Canis lupus familiaris: one gene and its partners. The protein of the gene in region 1 binds, or shares a complex with, the protein of each later gene. Links are inferred from orthologs where the notes say so. Each region holds a gene or a part of one and is shown in the gene's direction. Other genes may lie near its edges. The genes, in order: CAPN2, CAST and CAPNS1.

The links.
Region 2: the proteins of CAPN2 (region 1) and CAST are in contact, whole or in part, in a crystal structure (PDB 3BOW), measured with the Rattus norvegicus proteins. The link is inferred for Canis lupus familiaris from reciprocal best matches to the Homo sapiens genes CAPN2 and CAST. Residues at the interface, in NP_058812.1 of Rattus norvegicus: Glu62, Leu63, Ser68, Lys69, Gln99, Gly100, Ala101, Leu102, Gly103, Trp106, Lys161, Asp162, Leu165, Leu166, His169, Ser196, Gly197, Gly198, Thr200, Ser241, Asp243, Ile244, Thr245, Asp249, Ser250, Glu251, Ala252, Val253, Val259, Lys260; in NP_445747.2 of Rattus norvegicus: Glu571, Leu572, Asp573, Ala575, Leu576, Asp577, Glu578, Leu579, Ser580, Ser582, Leu583, Gly584, Gln585, Arg586, Gln587, Pro588, Leu596, Asp597, Asp598, Lys599, Val600, Lys601, Glu602, Lys603, Ile604, Lys605, Ala606, Glu607, His608, Ser609.
Region 3: the proteins of CAPN2 (region 1) and CAPNS1 are in contact, whole or in part, in a crystal structure (PDB 1KFU), measured with the Homo sapiens proteins. The link is inferred for Canis lupus familiaris from reciprocal best matches to the Homo sapiens genes CAPN2 and CAPNS1. Residues at the interface, in NP_001739.3 of Homo sapiens: Ala2, Gly3, Ile4, Ala5, Lys7, Leu8, Ala9, Arg12, Glu13, Glu16, Phe60, Arg366, Arg416, Arg417, Arg418, Arg420, Asp494, Ile516, Phe551, Glu575, Lys578, Val581, Asp582, Asp585, Gly588, Ser589, Gly590, Gln641, Leu642, Gln644; in NP_001003962.1 of Homo sapiens: Thr85, His86, Ser88, Asp111, Asp112, Met113, Glu114, Ser116, Thr118, Asp142, Arg145, Ser146, Ala149, Val150, Met151, Asp152, Ser153, Asp154, Thr155, Thr156, Gly157, Gly160, Phe161, Glu163, Asn206, His208, Leu209, Met212, Ile213, Arg215.

Annotation. Positions count from the first base shown.
Region 1 is NC_049228.1:40,298,177-40,305,012, reverse strand, and holds part of CAPN2 (calpain-2 catalytic subunit), read left to right. Parts: intron 1-1,051; coding exon 1,052-1,170; intron 1,171-2,218; coding exon 2,219-2,352; intron 2,353-3,213; coding exon 3,214-3,382; intron 3,383-4,119; coding exon 4,120-4,203; intron 4,204-5,679; coding exon 5,680-5,765; intron 5,766-6,264; coding exon 6,265-6,339; intron 6,340-6,817; coding exon 6,818-6,836. UniProt on the Homo sapiens protein: Calcium-regulated non-lysosomal thiol-protease which catalyzes limited proteolysis of substrates involved in cytoskeletal remodeling and signal transduction. Proteolytically cleaves MYOC at 'Arg-226'.
Region 2 is NC_049224.1:13,066,503-13,073,994, reverse strand, and holds the start of CAST (calpastatin), read left to right. Parts: upstream 1-3,578; 5' UTR 3,579-3,657; coding exon 3,658-3,732; intron 3,733-5,051; exon of another isoform or gene 5,052-5,179; coding exon of another isoform or gene 5,180-5,209; intron 5,210-7,492.
Region 3 is NC_049222.1:117,398,122-117,405,754, reverse strand, and holds the start of CAPNS1 (calpain small subunit 1), read left to right. Parts: upstream 1-2,827; 5' UTR 2,828-2,899; intron 2,900-3,807; 5' UTR 3,808-3,825; coding exon 3,826-4,031; intron 4,032-4,049; exon of another isoform or gene 4,050-4,070; coding exon of another isoform or gene 4,071-4,093; intron 4,094-4,110; exon of another isoform or gene 4,111-4,245; intron 4,246-4,380; exon of another isoform or gene 4,381-4,461; intron 4,462-4,893; coding exon 4,894-4,927; intron 4,928-5,200; coding exon 5,201-5,290; intron 5,291-5,445; coding exon 5,446-5,503; intron 5,504-5,602; coding exon 5,603-5,667; intron 5,668-7,633. UniProt on the Homo sapiens protein: Regulatory subunit of the calcium-regulated non-lysosomal thiol-protease which catalyzes limited proteolysis of substrates involved in cytoskeletal remodeling and signal transduction. Essential for embryonic development.

The DNA of each region.
Region 1 (6,836 bases):
GGAAAGCCAAAGCTGAGTCCCCAGCACCGCTGCACCCACTCAGCGCAGGAGCCAGAGGATTCGTTTGCCCTGGTCAGGTTGGGGCCTCAGAGAGCTGTGCGCACCATCCTTTCTGAGCATCAGCAGGACAGTCCCGTTTAGGAATCATCAGGACACCAAGGGGTGGACCAGAAGAGAAAAGAGCTCCGTGACCTTCAGTAGCACCTGCAAGAGGCCCGTCCCTCAGTAAACGTAAATCCAGCGATGCACATGAACTCATCCAAGGCTGTTTCCTGTTACCGCCTTGGGAAGTGGTAGGAGGGTGCTCACTCCTTTAGCACAAACTAGATTTCCTCAGCCTCCCCCGGAGCCTCCATCGGTGGCCTTGGGAGGTAAATGCGAGCCCCCCACGGCACACTGTTGCTGCCCACGGCTCGCTTCTAACCGTGCAACAGGGTCGCGGTGCTTGCGTGCTGAGCACCTGCTGCCGGAGCCGCAGGCACATCAGAGCTTTGCCTGCTGCCGTGCTGCCGTGACCGCGTGGTCCTGTGTGCCACAGGGGGCACTGCGGCTGCGGGGGGCCCGTCTGACTGTCCTTGTTCTTGTGCCCCTTGTGCGGTGCCCTCCCATACCTCAGAAGTGACCATCCATGTGCTCTTGCCCAGGGGAGCAGCTCGACAATGCACTTCTCTGACCCTGGAACCTGCTCCCACCCACTCAGGGACATGCAGGACACCCTGTGTGGGACCTGCTGGCCCGCCTTCCCCTGCCCCTACGCCCTCCTCCCTGCCGACCGCTCCCCACCTCCACCCGTGCTCCAGAAGTGTCCCTCATCATTTCAGAGGCCCCTGCCGTGCCCTCCGTGGCTGAGCTGGGAGGACAGCATGACTGTCACAGGTCTTTCCAAGAGTGAGTTCTCCTGCCTCCGTCTGGGTCACCCAAACCCTCCAACCTGCCTGTCCCCTGGTGGCTTGTCCACAGCTTCAAGCTCCTGGAGGCAGGACGAGGTGTCCAGCACCAGCATCCTCCTGGCACTGAGCCCCCTGCTCAGAGCTCTGTGCTGTGTCCACAGGTGACTGCTGGCTGCTGGCAGCCATTGCCTCCCTGACCTTGAACGAAGAGGTCCTGGCTCGTGTTGTGCCCCCGAACCAGAGCTTCCAGGAAAACTATGCAGGGATCTTCCACTTCCAGGTGAGTTAATGTTGGCACACACTTCTCCCCAGTGGGTCCTGGGGGACTAAGACAGGTCCTGGGGGGTTCTGAGGTTGGGTCCCGGTGGGGGGGAGCTGAGGACGGGCTGGGGGTGTTGCTGAGGATGGGTCTGGTGGGGTTCTGAGGATGGGTCAGGGGGATTGCTGAGGATGGGTCCTGGGGGTGCTGAGGGCGGGTCGGTGGGGGGTGCTGAGGATAGGTCTGGAGGATGCTGAGGACGGGTCCCGGGGGAGTGCAGAGGATGGGTCAGGGGGCCGCTAAGGACGGGTCCCGGGGTGGGGAGCTGAGGACGGGTCCCAGGGTGGGGGAGCTAAGGATGGATCCCAGGGTGGGAGCTGAGGATGGGTCCTGTGGGGGGAACTGAGGACAGGTCCCGGGATGGGGGAGCTGAGCACAGGTCCTGGGGGGGCAGCTGAGGACAGGTCCCGGCGGGAGGAGCTAGAATAGATCCTAGAAGCTAGGAACAGGTTCCCTGGCTCAGCCACGTTTATCAGATCCTGGGGTTTGCAAACCCCTAGGACCGTGCTGTCCTACAGAGGACCTGGAGAGGCTGCAGCAAGCTCTCTGGCCTGCTCCTGACAGGGACCCTGTCCCTGACGGGGAGACCCTGCAGGAATAGCAGTGGGGAGCCTCTTGAGACAGGCAAGGAGGGACGTAGTGCAAGGCACTCGAGTTAATTCCCAAGTTTCAAGCCTGTTCTGGGGTGTCTGAGTCAATGGCGAGGTACCACTCACTGTCCTCCCTTCAGGCTGGTAAATGAGAAGTCCTATCCTGAGAGCATGAGGTGCAGGCAGGGTGCCCGAGAGGCGAGTGTGGACAGGAGCTTCTGCCCTGGGCTTCTCAGCGAGGACTTGCCAGGAGGAGGAGGGTGGGAGGTCTCCTCCCGGGATGGGCTCACGGTGCCAGGGGCCGGGCAGGGAGGAGCCGGTGCCTCTGAGGCTGGGATCCCCAGGCGGCAGCCCGCCCACTGGCCCTTCCCGCAGCCCACCCCGGGCCACCCTGTCCTGTCTCTGTCCCCGACCCACAGTTCTGGCAGTACGGTGAGTGGGTGGAGGTGGTGGTGGACGACAGGCTGCCCACCAAGAACGGGGAGCTGCTCTTCGTGCACTCTGCAGAGGGCAGCGAGTTCTGGAGCGCGCTGCTGGAGAAGGCCTACGCCAAGTGAGTGAGCGTGAGCGTGCCCTTCCCTCCAGCAGCCTGCCCCAACTGCCCTGCATTCTGGAAGAGACGGGTGGTGGTCAGGAACTACCTGTTCCAGAATTGCGCTCTAGATTCAAGGAGTGAATGCAGGTGGGGTGCCTGGCCGCATCGCGCCTGGACGGGTGATCGTGCTCACCCTGCGTAGACACACGCACAGGAGCCGGTGTGGCGCAGACTGGCCTTGAGAAGGACCCCTACGTGCTTGGCAGGTCAGATCACATTTTTGTCAGCTAAATACCACAGAGTTTCTACTACTGGGCAGAACCGTCCAGTGCAGAGGTAGAAGTCTGGAAGCTTGTGCAGAATCTACGGTGTGCAATGAGATGTGGTTTCCCATGACCTCCCTGGGCGGGAACCCCATGACCTCATCCCGACTGTGCCGCCCAGACTCTGCGGCACCCAGAGGGCTCCTGGCCCTTGCAGCCACTGCTGGGGAGGAGGGCCAGCCCCCCCAGCTGTGACAGTCGGGGGTCTGGGAGCCACTTCTCAGTCACTTGCCTCAACAGCACCGCTAGAAGCCATGGGACGCCGTGGGGCAGGAGGGTGGGAGGAGCAGCACTGTGCGTGTGCACCTGGAATTGCTTTTGTTGTGGAGTTGTTGTCCTTTAAGCTTTAGATGCCAAACAGCCAATGAGCAGCCCTGCCCTTTGCTACGAGGATGTCCAAACCATGAGTACGGGGGGTCGGACCAGATAACCACCGGTCCTTCCACCTGGAAGACTAGATTTGCTGGAGCCCAAGCCGAGGGGATCCCGAGTGGACGGTCCCTGGAGCATCCAGTAAAGGGAAGCAGCAGTGGCAGCAGGATCTGTCCTCCCTCAGGATCAACGGCTGTTACGAGGCACTCTCGGGGGGTGCCACCACTGAGGGCTTTGAGGACTTTACCGGGGGGATCGCGGAGTGGTACGAGCTGAGGAAGGCCCCCCCTGACCTGTTCAGGATCATCCAGAAGGCTCTGCAGAAAGGCTCCCTCCTCGGCTGCTCCATAGACGTGAGTCCAGGCCCCACCACCTGCTATAGCTGGCACGTCCGTCCCGGTCCACTACACTGTGCCTCACCTGGAACCCATGGCTGGTCAGCAACTTCCAGGCTGTCTGGGGGACAACTGGTGGGCGAAGGTGGCCCCAGCCCACTTCCGACACCCACCTCCTGTGCATCACCAGCCTGGACCTCAGGCCCTGGGACCCCATTCCCTCGGCTGGTCCCCAGGGAAGCTCCTGCCCTCGGCTGGTCCCCCGGGAACCCCCTGCCCTCCACTAGTGCCCAGGGAGCCCCTTGTCCTCCGCTGGTCTGGGGGAAACACCCTGTGCAGACACTTGTCCCTGTGGACAGGGCCTGCATGGGCCTGGAGCCAGGTACCTTACCCTTCATTGCTGCAGGGTCCAAGGCCCTGGGAAAGACTTCGGGAGGGGCCCTTTCCTCCAGAAGCTGGGAGGTGTGCATCACGTCCTGCCCCCAGGCATCCTCTGGACAGAGGCTGAGCATCCCACCCCCACCCCAACCCTGTGCTACCCAGGACTCATTCCCTGTGGGGACAGAGAGGGAGGCCCCAGCTTCCACGGGCAAAATTTCTGTCCAACTTGCTAAAAAACAAAATTCAGTCTAGTAAATGTGAAGATATAATTGCCTTTATCAGGTGATCCGTGAGTTGGGTGGCACCCCATCCCGCAAGTAGCAGAGACCCTCTATGAAAGAAGGTGGGCAGCCTGACTCTTCCCATCTTTCCAGATCACCAGCATGGCAGACTCAGAGGCCATCACGTTCCAGAAGCTGGTGAAGGGGCACGCGTACTCAGTCACTGGGGCCGAGGAGGTAAGGCCGGCAGAGTTTGCAGGGGTGTCTTCTCCCTAACACCGCAGAGGACTGCCCCCCAGCTTAGTGGGTCCTGCACTCCCACGGCCCCTCCTCTACCAGGCCTTGAACTCCTGAAGCCAAGGGAGCGAGGCCAGCGATTCAAGGGCCGCTGCGCCCCATGTCTGCCCTCTGTGGGCCACGGGCCAGCTCTGGCGTGCTCCCTATGCTTCGTTCACACTCGCCTTGCTCTTCCCGACCGGCTAGATATAAAGGAACAGGGATCGCATCCATATAGTGTTTTAGATTCTCAAAATGGTGCTTTTGCGATTGATGTCACCGCAGCATCAGTGCTGAATTCCTGTTCCGGTCTGGCCGCCTCTGGCCCGCTGCATGGCCTGGGCACATTTCTCAAACTCCCTGGCCTGGAGTGTCCTCCAGTCAGAGGGGTGATGTCTGCAGGGAGCTGTGGTGGCAGGCGCCGCGGCTCCCCAGTGTCACAGTAACGCCACACGCCCCAGTCAGCAGCCGGCATCAGGGCGAGTACAGAACCCCATGTCTTCAGACGTGTCCATGGCTCCGTTCTGTTTTAAACCTTAAATTTTTATTTTATTCCCGAGCCCACCACACCCAAGACATGGACACCTTTTTATTTTGAAAAAGCTCAAGTCAATGGAAAGGTTGAAAGGCTAGAACAATCATAAACATCCAGGTACTGGGACTCCTGGGTGGCGCAGTTGGTTGGGCGTCTGCCTTTGGCTCGGGTCGTGATCCTGAGGTCATGGGATCGAGTCCCATGGGGGGCTCCCTGCTTAGCAAGGAGTCTGCTTCTCTCTCTCCTCCCCACTCATGCTCTCTCTCTCTCACTATCTCTCTCTCAAATAAATAAATAAGAATATTTTTTAAAAAAGAAAACATCCAGGTACTGCTTCTGTAGACTCAGTATCTGCACGTCTGTTTTCTGAGCCGTTGGTAGGTCAGGCACATACGTCACGAGACTTCCACATTCGCCTCCCAGGCTCTCATGTGACATCAGTGCTGTTGTCAGGTTTTCATCCCATGACAGCATCTCACGCAGAGCCCGTGTTCACACATCTTCCCACCTCGACAGCATGTCCCCTGTAGCGCCCGCCCAGGGCTCCAGGTCTAGGCAGCGTGACCACTCTGCATCTGCAGAATTCCTGCGCAGGTGGGAAGGTGCCCTCGCCCTGGGACCACAGCAGGTCCCGCTCTAGTCGGGAGGCTGGGGGCCCCATGCCATGGCATCTAGAATGAGGAGAATGAGGACACTGCTGCCGCAGGCTCGAGACCAATCAAGGAGCTGCGTCCTGCAAGAGTGGACCCAAGGAGTGGTCCACACTGGCAGTGGCAGGGGGCCTGGGGTCAGCCCTTCCCATTTCATGACCCGGACCCGACCCCTCTCAGCTGATGGAGAAGCCCCCCCAGGCCGGGCTTGAGCTCAGCAGCTCCCCTCTCCTTCCTGCACCCCACCTTCAGGTCGAAAGTGGGGGCAGCCTGCAGAAGCTGATCCGCATCCGCAACCCTTGGGGCGAAGTGGAGTGGACCGGGAAGTGGAATGACAAGTGAGCGGCATGCCCTCCCCTGGGAGGTTCTGGGGGCTGCGCTGGGGGGTCAGGCCCGGAGGCCGCAGGTCCCCCTCCCTGCCCCACTAGGGCGTGTGTGTGTCCTCCTGCAAGCCCCGGGCTCCGGCGACGCACAACCCATCCGTCACCTCACAGTCCACGCCTTCCCTGGTGCAGTCCCCCTGCTGGCGGGCCTTCCCAGGGTGGGAGGTGCAGAGAGGTTCCCAGCCAGGGCAGCCACTCGTGGGACTCTCAGTTCCCCTCACAGGGGCGGCCGGGCGTAGGCCGCCTGTGCTACCCCTTCTCCCCCGACAGCTGCGCTCTTTCTGCCGCCACCACCCAGGGGGCTCCCTGTCCTCACCCCCCTGCTTCCCGGCTCCGGCCCGCATACGTGTCACTCCTCCCGGTGGAGTCTGGCCCTTGGAGGCTCGGGAGCATGTCCCTGGGTACCCACTCTGGGGCTGTGGGGACGGTCCTCACCTGTCCCTTGGTTTCTCAGCTGCCCCAACTGGAACACGGTGGACCCAGAGGTGAGGGAGAGGCTGACCAGACGGCACGAGGACGGGGAGTTCTGGTAAGGTTGTTAGTGGCCGCAGGGCCAGGGCTCTGTCCTTGGGTCGTGGGCACAGGGGCGTGGGAGCTGCTTCTGTAGTCCTAAACTCCCCAGAAGACCCCGATGAAACTATTCCTCAGCCTCTCCCATTTGTCCATCTCAACGATGGGGTTTCAAAGGCCCAGGAGGGTTCAGGTCCCACGAGGAGACTGGAGAGGAGGAGCCCTTCCCCAACCAGCTCCCAGAGTGGGCCTGACACCTCAGGAAAGAAACAGTCCCTTGGAGAACAGGGCTGGGCCTGCGGCTGTGTCTGCCCACCTGCGTCTGTGCTGCCTGGCTCAGTGCTTTGAGCAGCACAGCGCCCGAGTGCGGTGCCAGGCCGGGCATCTGCACCTCTACCTGTGGGCCTGGGGGTGGCTCCTGGCCCAGCTGCAGGGGGAAGGTCACCGTTGTCAGCGTCCTCGTGTAACCTGGTCGTCCTTGTTCCTGCCTCGGCCAGGATGTCTTTCAGTGACTTC
Region 2 (7,492 bases), on another chromosome or scaffold:
AGAGCACATGACAAAGCTCCTGTGGTCTAAACATATTCTCCAACTACTGACTAGCACACCTTCATCTTGTTTATGCACGGACTTTACCACTTAAGCCATTCTCCTGGATAATTCAACAGTCAGAAGCATGATGCTCCTACTCAGATACACATCATAAGGGAAAGGAGGCTTGGAGAGCCTTGGAATATTTTGCCTACATCTTTGCCTATTTGCAAAGATGATTCTTCTTCTTCTTCTTCTTCTTCTTCTTCTTCTTCTTCTTCTTCTTCTTCTTCTTCTTCTTCTTTTTCTGGTTTACTCTGGACAATGTCACTATGGAGTAGAGCAAACCTGGTGGAGAGTCTCAAGATGGCTGATAGGACAGGTACATTTCAGTGGGATTGGTAGGGACTTGAACATCAGCTAAAAGATCCAGGTTTTCTTGAGTTAACTTCCATTCCAGAAGTAAGTGGCAGTGTAGAAAAAATATCATACAAAGGAAGGGGACTATTCAAACCATGAGTACCTCAGATTTGAATCCTCCTGAATCCTACCCCCTGGCCAGGTTACCACAACCTCTCAGCTGTCAGATCTAATGGACACTCTTCATCCATTGTCTGACCCAACCTTTGAGTGAAATGTCATATTGCCGGATCAGCCCCTTCCTTTCAGGAGCCCCTCCTCCCTCGGCCTCTGGTACCTACTTCCTTCCTAGCTTCCTCCTACCCCCCCCCCCCCCCGCCCCCCGTAGCTCCTTCTCAGGTTCCACTGGCTTTTTCTCCAGTTTCCATCCTGTCTTTCTTTTTCTCAGTTTACATGTTTCCTGATGAGAAGTGATGAGCTCCTGAACAGCTCCTGCAACAGGGGGGATGAAGAGAAGATACAAGGTGGAGGTCATGTGGAGGAGGTTACAACTCAGTCAAGTCAAACATGGCAGGAGGAAGGAGCCCTTGAGCTCCCCGTCTCCCCAGCCAGCCCATCACGGTCAGAGTGAGAGGTCCCTCAGGATCCTGTAGTGCTCTTGGAATATCTCTGCCAGCCCTTACCCTTCGTCCATGGTCATGTGGTGGTGAATTTGTCTGTCTTTCCTCCTAGACTTTCAGGCCCCCGGTACCTCCACAGAGCCTGACACAATGCAGTCATCCTGTTACTGAGTAAATGAAGGAATGTGCAAATAAAAATAAAACAAAGGTGCCATATATATTTAAAATGACCTTCTCTAAGGTGTTCAACTGCTGGTCATGGTATCAAAGTTCGAATTCCTCACTGACTACAAGAGAAAGTGAAAACACTGCCCTCTTTCTTCTTCAACTTATTTGTAATTCTTCTTTACTCATCATCATCAATGCATAGTTTAGCCCATAACTGATCTGCTTATGGAGTTCCAACCCTTAAGCAAAGCCTGAAGGCTAATGTCATTATCTCTTATAGATTTTGATATCAATTATATCACCTGGCATGGCAGCTGCTTGGTAAATAGTAAGTTGGCAAATGGATCGATTACTTCTAAACTTGCACCAGCAGCTCCAACCAGATGGGTAGGCTTTTTTAATATTTCCTGAACTGCCCCCACCCTTTCTACCCCTGTCCACATCCCACCAGCCAGCCTGCCCACTCAAGCTTCTTTTACCTTCCTAAAAGCACTAAGCCCCACAGAACCCCAAACTCCCAAAACACATTTGTACTTACTCATACCTGCCTCATTGTCACCCAAATGATGTGTTACAAATGCCACATGACTCCAGCTAACCTCTAAGTCCTTGGAGTGCAGGAAATATGCATTTTTATCCGTATATCAATTTCTTTCACAATGCTTTACATGATGAAAGACTTTCAAAGAATATAACACTAACTGGTTTAAGTTCAATTTTAAATACCCCTTAGAAAACACCTCAAATTTTAATCAACAAACCATTCTTCTTCCAGACTCAGAATAATGTGTCAGGGATCTAAAGCCTGAACCTAGGTCCTCTAGGATCTTTAGTATGGATGTGTTTCTGGTTCCTGGGCCTAGAGATGGGGCTGCCTATCACCTGGGCCCTGTAGTTTGTGTGCTTATTTAAATTACTGTAGGTGTTTGGTTGCATTCTTAAGTCATTTTTTTTTTCAGGCTTATGACATATTTCCTCCAATTATGAGTGTAATTCATGCCACCAATCAATTTTTCTTGAATGGACAATGATAGATCCCTTATCCAAGTCATTTCATTTTTATGGGTAAATTCTCACACCGTAGCCTGTGTGCTGGAAATGCTAGTTACATAGATAATAAGCAAAACTTTTAAAAAGGAAATCCATTTTCAGCACTCCTCACTGCTCCCCCCATCAGGAATGCTGCTAGTCTGTAAATGAAGACAAAAATCCCTAAATACAGCATGACTACTCTTTTCCTACAACCTGGCTTCTCTCTCAGCAAATGTCTAAAACATAACACTGCAGAGAGTGGTCACCCTCGGGTCCTAAGTGTCCATGCCACCCCAGGGAAACGGGTTCTTTTTTCTGTCGGGTCTGATCACAAACCACAGAATGGAAGGGTGACAGTCTCAGCAGATGAGCATTTTCTAGACAAGCTTGTTATACTTCACTTCCAGGCCTAAACCAGGAAGTGCTGTTTAAGATGAGTCAAAGACTAAAAACACTTTGGCCTCGGAAACAAAACCGGCCAGGCTCCAGAAACGCTACAGGGGTTTTAATTTGGGACTATTCTTTGGTTTGAATTGGAACCTACGGCTTCCTACCCCCATAAAACGTTTTAAAACTTTCAACATTGCGCCCTCCCGCCCCCCCCCCCCAAAAAAAAACCCCTCCAAGTGAGATGCCAGAAAATACACACAGGAGAGCGTACACACCTACACAAACAGACACATCCAGACAAACAAATGCACAGACCCATTTGTTTTTTTGTGATCCGCTTCCTTATCTAGACGGTCCAGGCTTGGGCCAGATTTGAGTTGGTAAATTCTTCTCCAAACTAAACCCGGACAGATTGCAGGAAAGGTGTTTAATTCTGGAGATAGGGACGCCTGGGTGGCTCAGCGGTTGAGCGTCTGCCTTCGGCCCAGGGCGTGATCCTAGAGTCGTGGGATCGAGCCCCACGTCGGGCTCCCTGCGTGGAGCCTGCTTCTCCCTCTGCCTGTGTCTCTGCCTGCCCCCCCCCCCCCTCTCTGTGTTTCTCATAAATAAGTAAAATCTTTAAAACAAAAATTCTGGAGACCTGTTTAAGGAGAAGGGTCGAGGCGCAGCCGGGCCACGCCCGGGTCCCGCTCTCCCGTTGCACAACTGAAAGCTGAGTCCGGGCAAGTCGAAGGAGGAACCCTGAGACCTGCAGCCCCTCCTCCCTGCGACCTCGGGGAGCCCCGAGTCCTGGGAGGCGGGGAGGACCTCGGGGCGAAGACCACGGGGCCGAGGGTGTTCGGCTTCAGCCCCGGGGCGCTGGAGCTGGGGCCGCAGCCAGCAGCCGGCAGGAAGGGGAGGACCCGGCCGGGCAAGGGGGAGCCCCCGCGCGGGCTCGGGGCTGGGTCGGAAAAGCTGCCTCACGGGCGCGCCCGCCGGCCCCTCCGCCCCCTCCCTCCCTCCCTCCCTCGCTCGCTCGCTCGCTCGCTCGCAGAGCAGCCCCGCCCGGGCCTCCCTTCGCGGCCCCGCGGCGCCCTCCCGGAGGCAGCGATCCCGCGGCCTCGCCATGTCTCAGCCGGGCCAGAAGCCCGCTGCCTCCCCGAGGCCCCGGCGCGCTGCCGCCGCCCGCGACACCCAGGAGGTGAGTGGCGCCCCTCCGGGAGCCGCAGGGCCGCGCTGGGGGGAGGGGATCCGAGCCCCGGGGCCCTGGGCCGCCTCCTCGGGGCGTGACCCGCGCGGCCGCCTGGCCCGGGCGCCCTCGGGGCCGGGAAGGGCGCGGGGCTCAGGCTCGCCGCCGGGCAGGGGCCGGAGGTGACCAGGGGTCCCTCGGGCCCGGCCCAGTGCGCCCGGCGAGGCGCGAGCTCCACAGGGGGCCGGGCCGCGTCGGGGAAAGTTGGGTGGGGAGAGGCGGGCGAGGGAAGAGAGGGCTGGGGGCGGGAGTTCCTTCGAGGCCCCCGGAGTGGGGGGAGTTTAACGAGCGCGGAATCCCCTCTTCCGCTTAAAGCCGGGGCTGCAGGGCGGGGCTGCCCCGAGGAATAACACAGCCACCCTAGCCAGCCTCGCGCCGCGCCGGGCGGGGCGGGGCGGGGCTGCCCGAGGAATAACACCCCTACCCTAGCCAGCCTCGCGCCGCACCGGGCGGGGCGGGGTCTGCGGGGGCGGGGCCTGCGGGGGGCGGGGCTTCCCCGAGAACTAGCACAGCTACCCTAGCCAGCCTCCCGCGGCTCCGGGCTGGGCGGGGCCTGAGGGGGCGGGGCCTGCGGGGGGCGGGGCCTGCGGGGGCGGGGCTTCCCCGAGAACTAACACCCCTACCCTAACCAGCTTCCCGCGGCACCGGGCGGTGCGGGGCCTGAGGGGCGGGGCCTGCGGGGGGGGCGGGGCGGGTGTGGGGGCGGGGCCTGCGGGGGGCGGGGCTTCCCCGAGAACTAGCACAGCTACCCTAGCCAGCCTCCCGCGGTACCGGGCGGTGCGGGGCCTGAGGGGCGGGGCCTGCGGGGGGGGCGGGGCGGGTGTGGGGGCGGGGCCTGTGGGGGGGCGGGGCTTCCCCGAGAACTAACACCCCTACCCTAACCAGCTTCCCGCGGCACCGGGCGGGGCGGGGCCTGAGGGGGCGGGGCCTGCGGGGGCGGGGCTACCCGAGAACTAACAGCTACCCTAACCAGCTTCCCGCGGCACCGGGCGGGGCGGGGCCTGAGGGGGCGGGGCCTGCGGGGGCGGGGCTACCCGAGAACTAACACAGCTACCCTAACCAGCTTCCCGCGGCACCGGGCGGGGCGGGGCCTGAGGGGCGGGGCCTGCGGGGGGGCGGGGCGGGTGTGGGGGCGGGGCTTCCCCGTGAAATAACACCCCTACCCTAGCCAGCCTCCCGCGGCTCCGGGCGGGGCGGGGCCTGCGGGGGCGGGGTCTGCGGGGCGGGGCCGCTCCGGGTGCGCCCAGGTGTCGTGCCTCCTGCTGGCTGCGGGCGTCCCGAGCGCAGAGCCCGCCAGCTCCCAGGCAGGCGAAGTGGGAGCCCCGCGCCGGCCGCCCCGCACCCCGCGTCCTCGCCGAGCCCTCCGCCACGCGCGGCTCCGAGCCCACCGACTGTGGCCATGGCATTCGCAAGCTGGTGGTACAAGACGGTAAACGCGAGCGATCGTGCCTGGGCAGGAACGGGAAGGGGATGATTGCTCTGCCTTTCCGGGAGTGCGGATGGATGAGTGCTGTCCGGACTGGGGCTGGGAAGGGGTGGGGACCACATGCGACCTCTTCCCGGGACTTCAGGTTGGGCTCCGGGAGAGGCCGAGACTCACCCTGCTGTGGTATGCACCAGCGCGCCCGGGCGTGCGAGTCCGTGTGAGCAGAGATGCAGGAGGCCCTGCTTGCTCTCGAGCTGAATGGGACAGGAATAGTTCCGGGAGGAATTCCGCCCCTGGATGCGGATTCCCGAATGAACTCAGCTCGCAAGAGCCTAGACCTAGCGTTTTTAACTTGTGTGCAAAGCTCGAAACTTTTAGAGAAATGTCCTTGGACATGCATTTTCCAACACAGAGGAGGAGAATGGGGGGGCAAGAGAAAACCCAACACTCCAAGGAGCAGTAGCAACCGAGATCAAGAGCTTTGTTGAGAATGAGACGGTGAGAGTTAGAGCGATTCTGTACTTTTTTTTCCACACACAAAAAAAATAAAATAAAAATACACGAATGATGTGTTGGTAGGTGAGAATCAAAATATTTCTATCCCATTGATTGATGTGTGAATTTGAAAAACTTAGTTTTAAGTACACGTCTTTCTCAGCATGTGGTATTGGGAAAAGCAAGGTTATTCTAATTAGACACGCTTTAGAGAGAAACCTTGTATGGAAATCAGTAAACTGTCACTGATAAGCCAGTGGCCATTCACTGAACACCTACTATGTGCCAAGTCTGGTCCTAGCCTCTAAGTACACAGTGGAGAATAAGATAATAGTTCTTTTTCTCAAAGGGCAATGAGTCAACATTTCTGAACCTGTTTCCAAATCTGTAAAATGAAGGTCATAATAGGCACCACGTAAGGGTTGTGAGGACCGATTAGATTCATGGATCAAAGTACCCACCGTACCCATAGACTTTTAATGATTGGGAATTACAGTTTCCCTAAAGATATTTCTTTGTAATTGTTTCCCATTACATTTTCTGGGCTTTTAAAACATAGCATCTTATTTATGTGCTGAAAGCAAAAGTTTGCTTTGAGTCATTATTGTCCCAAGGTTCTTATCAAAGTGCACCACAGGAATTATCTGCAAATATGGATGGCAGTGTTTCAGAGGTGACATCAGACTTCTCTTTCCAAATTCATGATTCCCTAAAGGAAATTCCCTCAAGGAAATGCTGGAATATTTGAAGTAGTTTAAAACAGTGCTTTTAACTTTGTTATGTTTAGGCATCGTCTGTCATTTTGCTAAGATCTCTCTTATATTCCAATTTGGGAACTACCATAAAATTTTTTTGCCTCTCAGGATCAGCAAATTGTCTGTGATCAGCTTTGATTCTTCCCAAACCAATGTCATCTGAAAGAAATGTGGTGTGTCACATATGTAATTTAAAATTTCCTAGTAGCCACATTAACAAAAGCAAATACAGGTGAAATTCATGATAATAATATATTTTACTTAACCCACTCTATCCCAAACATTATTTCAACATATAATCAAGGTACAAACTGTTGAGGTACCTTAGATCTTTTTTATATTAATTCGTCAAACTCCAGTGTTCATTTTATACTTAAATTGATTCATACTTGGCTACATTTCAAGTCAAAAGGCATGAGTGGCTAAGGGCTATAGTATTGGAAGATATAGCTCTAGACATGCATGGCTCCTAACCATTTTTGTCTGTTGGCTATGAGGGAGTGATTACAGACTGTTCTGAGAATTAAATGAAAGCTATAGACCATTTTCCCTTAGCAAAATACACAAACAAATACACAAAAGCTCACCCATAAATCCTCTAAAGGTCCACAGAGCCAATTTATAACACATATATTTCACATATATATAATATAAATTGTAATATACAATAATACGATATATAATTTAATTATATAATATATACTCTGTAATATAATGTAATTATATAGTGTTATATACTGTATAATATAATATGATGGTATATACTACTATAGAATAATTATATATAAATGTACGATTTATATATAATATATATGTATTTTTATCATATATATCATATATATATCATGCATATATGTATACATAATGGTTCTGATACACCCTATAATTTAATTATCTTTACTAGGACCCTTTAAATACTGAAAAAGATTGTGAACGACCTCACTTTAAAAATCTAGGCAGAATAAGATAAAATAATTAAAAGGTGTATCTATGATATTTGTTTAAGGGAGTGCTACCTATAAAGCCAGTCAGTGAA
Region 3 (7,633 bases), on another chromosome or scaffold:
CAAGGGGGCTGGGAACAACCAGGTTGAGGTGCCAGTAGTGCTTCTTCTCACTTTCTTAAGGAGGAAGAGGTGAGGTCAGAGAGGTGACAGTACAGATCACTAGCATGGGTGACCATGGTGAGGACTGACTCTTACCAGGAGAGAAGTGTGGCCAGGAGAGGGCCCAGACCTGACTCAGGGTATCACAGGCTCCCTCTGGCTGTGGATGGGGAGCAGACTGTGCGGGCAGGCAGGGAGCACAGAGCCCAGGGAGGAGCTGCTGTGGGGTCAGGTCAGGGAGGATGGAAACTGTCCCGGGCTGGGGCAGTGTTGGTGGAGTCAACATTTCCTGACGGGTTGGCACGGGTGCGGAAGAGAGGTCAGGATGATCCTGGGCTGTGCAGTCTCAGTCACTGGAAGGACAGAGGTGCCATCAACCTAGATGGGGAAAGGGGGGAGGGAGCAGGTTTGGGAGAAGTTAGAAGCTCAGTTTAGGATGTGTGAAGTTTGAGACACTTCTAAGACCCCTACAGAGAAGGTGAATAGAATGCAGTTTGTAGGAGCCTGGAGGTGTCTGGATTGAAGACAGAAATTTGGATCTTAGTAGCCTAGAGATGGACTGTACACCCCGAATGTGGGGGGAGATCCTCTATGGCATGAGCGGATACAGAGGAGGACCAAGGCCTGACACCTGGAGCCGGCCAGGGTTAAAAGGACAGGGAGACTGATCTAGATGCCAGTGAGTGGCAGCGTGTTAGGAGAGAGTGTAAGTGGCAAGCCAGCAACTGCAAGCCTCACCCAGTCTCAGGTCGGGGTGGAGACAGGGAGTGCTTCCTAGAAGAGGTGAGTCCTGAGCGACCTGAGTACCTACATCACCAAGTAAAAAAGGCGGGAGTGTTTCAGGTTGAGGGCATGGCCCATGCAAAGGCCTGGCAGGGAGCCCTGGAGAGGGCAGGCAGTGGAAGCTTTCCAGAGTGGTAGGGAAGGGTGTGGTAAGAAGGGAATTTGGATTAGTCGTCACCAAGTTTTGACTTCAGCCAGGCCCAGATTCCTACCTGGTTCTGCCATCCTCTGTGACCTTAGGCAAGTGACCCACCTGGCCTCCACTTTTCTCTCCTATAAATTCCTGCCTCATAGGCAAGGCTTGTGTAGCAATTCCCTGGCCTGGCTGCTACTACAGTTTTGTCTGATGTGATCTTGTTATCTAGGCTATTATCATATTAATTATATTATTTTAAGTTTATTCCTTTTAGTAATCCCTATACCCAATGCCGGGCTTGAACTCATGACCCCGAGGTCAAGAGTTTCATGCTCTTCCAACTCAGCTAGTCAGGAGCGCCAATATTAATCATATTGGGCAGCCCGGGTGGCTCAGCGGTTTAGCACCGCCTTTGGCCCACCCAGGGCGTGATCCTGGAGACCCTGGATCGAGTCCCACGTCGGGCTCCCTGTACGGAGCCTGCTTCTCCCTCTTCCTGTGTCTCTGCCTCTCTCTCTCTCCTCTCTGTGTATTCTCATGAATAAATAAATAAAATCTTAAGAAAAATTAATCATATTATTGAAGTCAATGCTTTAGGGTAGTGGTTAAGGTTACAGGCTAGGGAGTTTACCCTCAGTCAGTTTACTTGTAAAATGGAAATACTGTGTACATCCACGCCATAGGGCTGTTACAAGGGCATGTGAGGTTATATGTAAAGTGCTCAGGAGAGTGCCTGGCCCTTATTTTTATCAGTATCACCTAAGGGTAGGTCAGTCAACCACCTGAGGAATCCAGGTGGGCTACAGGAGGAGGGAACAGCAGCATGGGTACAGGCACACACAGTTTCCTCTTTACTAACCTTATTTACCACTCAATTCTGAGGGGGAATGGGAACCTTTGTTTCTCATTTTACAGATGAATAAATCCTTGCTAAAACGAAATGAAACAAAACAAAACAGCCTTGCTCAGAGCCCAAAGGATCCCAGTTATTAAATGTCAGAGCCAGGGTTCAGACTCAAGCTAAGTCAGCCTCCAGGGGAGAGTCGAAGGGGGCCAGACTTTCCAGAAGGCCTGGGAGCCAGATTAGCTCCCTCTGAGGAGCCCTGAAGTTTGGAGGCCGGAGCTCCCCAGAGGGGCTTCCGCTGCCGCCCTTTGCCCTGCCAGCTTCTGCATTCCCCACCCCCTACTTCTCCGCCCGATCTTGGGGACATCTAGCTTCAGAAACCAGGCCAGAGAGACTGACTGTTCGGGTGCCCAGGCCCCTCTTTAGAGATGGGAAGGAGGAGGCGACACTTGGCGCCGCTGACTCGGGGTAAAAGGATGCGGGGGGAGGAGGCACAGGCAACTTTTGTAGGCGGGGAAGTCCTTCCTGCAGTCTGACCGCCACCTGGTTGCTGCAGGGCCCCGGGAAAGCTAGTCCAGCCTTAGCCCCTTGCCCCAAATGCGGGCGCCGGTCCCCGGGCTGTGGGCCGAGCATCCGGGTCTCCAAATGCTTTGTGGCGACAGGACTAGGATCCGGGGCGCGGGCCCGAAGTCCCCTTCCCAGCGGACCGAAAACGGCACCGCGGGGCGCACGGGGGCTCGCTGTGGGGCCAGAATTCACACTGCAACACTAGGGGGGGATCCCGGGCACGGCGACCGCACTGCCCTCAAGGACCGGGAAGACCTCGGATCTCGGAGCGCAGGGCGGGGTCCGCACCCACAGCTCAGGAAACGCGCGGGGCGGAGCCGCGGCGGCCGCTCGGGGTCACGGGAGGCGGGCCCGGCGCGCGCAGGCGCAGCTCAGGCCGGCTCTAGGACCGCGCGGAGGCCGGTCGGGCCGCCCGCAGAGCCCAGCCCCGCCCGCAGCCTGAGTCACCCGCCCCGCCCTGCGGAGCCGGACGCGGCCGGAGGCCCGGGAGCAGCGCGGACGAACGGATCCACGGACGAGTGAGCGAGGCGGTGAGCGCCCGATCTGGATTAGCCCTGTACTCCGTAACCCCGGTCCTTGCGGCCCCCATATCCAACACCCTTAAGCCCTGGTCTCAGGGGTCCCCCCCCCCGACCCATGATCTCAGACTGGAAGCCCCAGTTATGTCCGGCACCAGGTTATCCCCCCCTCCCCCGCCGGGGACTCTTCCACCCTCTGCCTCAGGATCTAAAGTTCGAGCCCGTGGATTTGAGAGGTACTCCTACAAATTATGCTCAGGGTAGGGTCCCCAGAACCACGATCCTTAGATCCGTTCTCCCAATTCTAATGGGCACCCCGTTATCCCAGGCCCCGGGATTCACACCCACAGTCTTAGACCCGAGCCCGCAGAATCAGCGGCGACATTGTAACCCGCTGCTGGGAGTATCGAAACCCTCAAGCTCACATTTCTGGGTTTCCTGAACCCTGCCCCAGAGCCTTCCAAGTGGAGAATCTCTGATCGGCGCCCCTGACCCGCCCAAGACCCCGAAACCCAGCTCTGGGGCTCGATCTGACTCGAGTACCTAGACATGTCAAAGATGTCTTGCACCAGCTTGGGGCCCCCACCTGGAGAAGCCCCCAGACCTGGACCCTTACCCTGGATGATGCCTATGCACTATGGACTCAGTCCAGGGGCCCTCAAGCCAGAAGGAGATCCTTTGGACCCAGAGGGGATTTCAAACCCGATCCTCAGTCCCTGTCCCACCCATCCGAAAACTACCCTCCCCCAGAACCCCAGACCCCATCCCAAATGCACCGTCAAGCCCGAGCCGGAGCATAAGTCCCTGCCCTGAGGCCTCATGTTACTCCCCAAGTCCGGCTGCCAGAAATGCGTATTTTTGTGTGGAAGGAGCGGGCTCCGTGGCGATGCGGCCCCTTGACCCCCCCTTTCCCCCCCCAGGAATTTTAAATCGCAGCCATGTTCCTGGTTAACTCGTTCTTGAAAGGAGGCGGCGGCGGCGGGGGAGGCGGGGGCCTGGGCGGGGGCCTGGGGAATGTGATCGGAGGCCTGATCAGCGGAGCCGGCGGCGGCGGCGGCGGCGGAGGAGGCGGCGGCGGCGGCGGCGGCGGCGGCGGGGGCGGAACGGCCATGCGCATCCTGGGCGGGGTCATTAGTGCCATCAGGTAAGGCGGGGCCTGAGGGGCGGGGCCCGGCGGAGGAGCATGTCCCGCCTGAGTAGATGGAGGTAACCTGGGGCCTGACCTGCAGTCTTCGAGGCTGGGCCACCCGCCTGGAGGGCGCGGGCCGTAGCGGGGCCGCTGGCAGTTCAGGAGGCGGCGCTTGACGTGGGCGGAGTCTGACGGCTGAGGGGCGATCTGCCGGGCGCTGCTCGGGGAGGTGGGGCTTGGGGGGGCGCGGCCTGCCTCCCGGCGGCCGGGAGACGAACGTTAGGGGGGCGGAGCCGCTGAGCCCGGCCGTCTCTTCCCGGGGCCAGGCCTGCCTTGCGGGCGCGGCGTGGCCGTGGTCTCGGGTCAGTGAGGCGCTGGACCCAGCAGAGGCCGAGGCCGAATGGGATGCGGGAGATGATCCTGAAGGAGGTGGATCTGGCTAGAAGTACGACCTGGTCGAGGTGGAGCGGGTTGTCACCAGGGGCCTCATTAACCGTGGCCCCCCTCGAAGGGGTGGGGACTCCTGGAGCTGGTGGGATGTTGGGAAACACGGGTGTTCAGGAAGCCACAGGACGGAGCAGGTTCCTAGACAGAAGGGGCCTGAGGAGGATGGAGCCCCAGGAAGCTGGGTCAGAGCTTCTATGAAGTGATCTGTTGAGGAATCTGTCACTGGGCAGGTGTGCCCTGGCCTGGCCCTGGCCTACCGTAGGGCGGGCCTCTGAGTTTCCTGCCAGGTGCAACCAGGGCAGCAAAGAGGGACCGTTAAGGCGAGCAGAAGGAGCCGGTGGGGAGGGTGGTGGGCTGGAGTTTGAGGGGTTGGGCACCGTCTTTGGAGGCTCCGCACACTGGCGCTAACTCCCTAACTCTCTCCCCTCAGTGAGGCAGCTGCGCAGTACAACCCAGAGCCTCCGGTAAGCCACCCTCTATAATCGGAGACCCTGCTTCTCACTCCCAGGCTTTTTTCCACACCCATCATTGTCCCTTTGTCCCCCTTATGAAATTCCACTCATTAAATCTCTCCCTTGCCAAGGTCCCCAAACTTAGCTATAGCCACTCCCTGCTTTCTGACCATCTCTCATTTCTTTGATCACCCAGCCACTCAGCCCATTCCGACTTTCCCACCAAGGGCTGTCCTGACCCGGGCACCCCTCCACCACTTGCTCTGAGATCTTTTCCCTCTGCAGCCTCCACGCACCCATTACTCCAACATTGAAGCCAATGAGAGCGAGGAGGTCCGGCAGTTCCGGAGGCTCTTTGCTCAGCTGGCTGGAGATGTAAGTAACCCTGGGCCCCTATCTTTGTCCTAAGTCTTCCACATCTTCCTTTGGGCTGCCCTTGCACACACCCCCAAAAATGGCAATCCCCAAAGAATCCCCATTCTCCTTCATGACATTCTTCCCTTGTGACCATCCCTGACTTTTCCCCACAGGACATGGAAGTCAGTGCCACAGAACTCATGAACATTCTCAACAAGGTCGTAACCAGACGTGAGTTGTTGGGCTCAACACATAGGACAGGTTTTGAGTCATGGGTTGCTGGGGTAGTTGTGACCTCTGGCCTTCTGACTTTCAATCTGTCCCCCACAGATCCTGATCTGAAAACTGATGGTTTTGGCATTGACACATGTCGCAGCATGGTGGCCGTGATGGATGTATCCTTGGGGGCAATCTGACTGAAGCCTTGGGTGAAGGAGTTTTGTGAGAGCATGGTTAGGAGAGCCAGGGTGTAGCTTTCATACACACAAATGTGGACATACATATATCAGAACACACACTCACTACCACACACCCAGACGTGTGGCGATAAATAGTAACCTCAGCTATCACAGCTGGCATTTCACAGCTGTTCTGTTAAATAGGCAGAATTGTTTTAGTCCATTTTGTAGGTCAAGAAACTGAGACTCAGAGAGAGGCAATCATTTGTCTGAAGGTTACGCTTACAAAGTAAGTGGCAGGGTAGGAATTTGGACTCAGGCCTTTTAGGCTCAAGAACCCAAGCTTATTTATTTTCTTTCTTTCTTTCTTTCTTTCTTTCTTTCTTTCTTTCTTTCTTTCTTTCTTTCTTTCTTTCTTTCTTTCTCTTTCTTTCTTTCTTTCTTTCTTTCTTCTTTCTTCTTTCTTTCCTTCTTTTCTTTTTTTTTCTTTTCTTTCTTTTTCTAAATAAGTACTACACCCAACGTGGGGCTTGAACTCCCCAATCAGAGATCAAGTGTCACACACTCTACTGACTGAGCCAGCCAGGTGCCCCAAGAACCCAAGCTTATAACTGCTATAGGTATGCCTATATACATGATGCACATATATGCAAGGGTACACTGTATAGGTGAAGATATGTGAAGGCATGTTCACAGGAACACACATGCATGTTTGCACATGGGCCAATCATTAATTGATCTTGGATACATGCATGCTCAGCACATAGGGGAAATGTAGACACCTATATATGTCATGTGATCACATACATATGTAGCACAGAGTTCTACATGCTTGGCTGTGCTGTTTAGTGAGGTTATGGAGCCTCTCTGTGCCTTAATTTGCCAGTCTATAAAATGAAGTGAATGATAATAGTGAAACTGAATTGGAGCTACATGCAAAAGGTTTATTTAGGACAATGCATAGCCATAGCACATCGTAAGTGGTTGTACACATTAGCTGCTACTATGATCATAGGTAGAGTTTCATCTTTGAATTGGTTTCTTTCTCTGACTGGGGAATAATACTGGTGAGGCTGGTGTCTTAAGGACTTAGTGAGAAAAGTGACGTTCCTGCGAAGCTTAGCACTACTTGGCATGTACTAGGTAATTTGATAAGTCTTGGCCATCATTGTTTTTGAGAGTTTGTCAAATATTAGCCCCTGAGCTAAGGGCTTTATCTCATTCCGCTTGTATCACAAACCCAGCAAGTCTTTTTTTTTTTTTTTTTTTTTTATTTATTCATGAGAGACACACAGAGAGAGGCAGAGACAGGCAGAGGGAGAAGCAGGCTCCATGCAGGGAGCCCATTGCGGGACTTGATCCTGGGACTTCAGGATCACGCCCTGGGCTGAAGGCAGACACTCAATTGCTGAACCACCGAGGTGTCCCATCCAGCAGGTCTTTACTATCATCACCTTATTTCCTTAGGGTTCCAAGATACCCTTGTTTTTCCCGTGTGCTGACCTTCATGAAATTAGACTGCTGTTAAGAATTTTATAGGGGTGCCTGGGTGGCTCCGTGGTTGAGCATCTTCCTTTGGCTCGGATTATGATCCCAGGGTCCTGGGATCAAGTCCCACATCGGGTTCCCTGCAGTGAGCCTGCTTCTCCCTCTGTCTATGTCTCTGCCTCTGTGTGTCTCTCATGAATGAAATCTTAAAAAATATATATATTTTTTAAGATTTTGGTTTTTTTTATTTATTCATGACATTGAGAGAGAGAGAGACAGGCAGAGGGAGAAGCAGACTTTGTGCAGGGAGCCTGATGTGGGACTCGATCCCCAGTCTCCAGGATCACACCCTAGGCTGAAGGCGGTGCTAAACCCCTGGGCCACCGGGGCTGCCCCCACAAAAAAAGAATTTTATAAATGAGTTAGTTACTATTTTCAGGTGAGGAATTTATAGTTTAGAGAAGTTCAATATAAT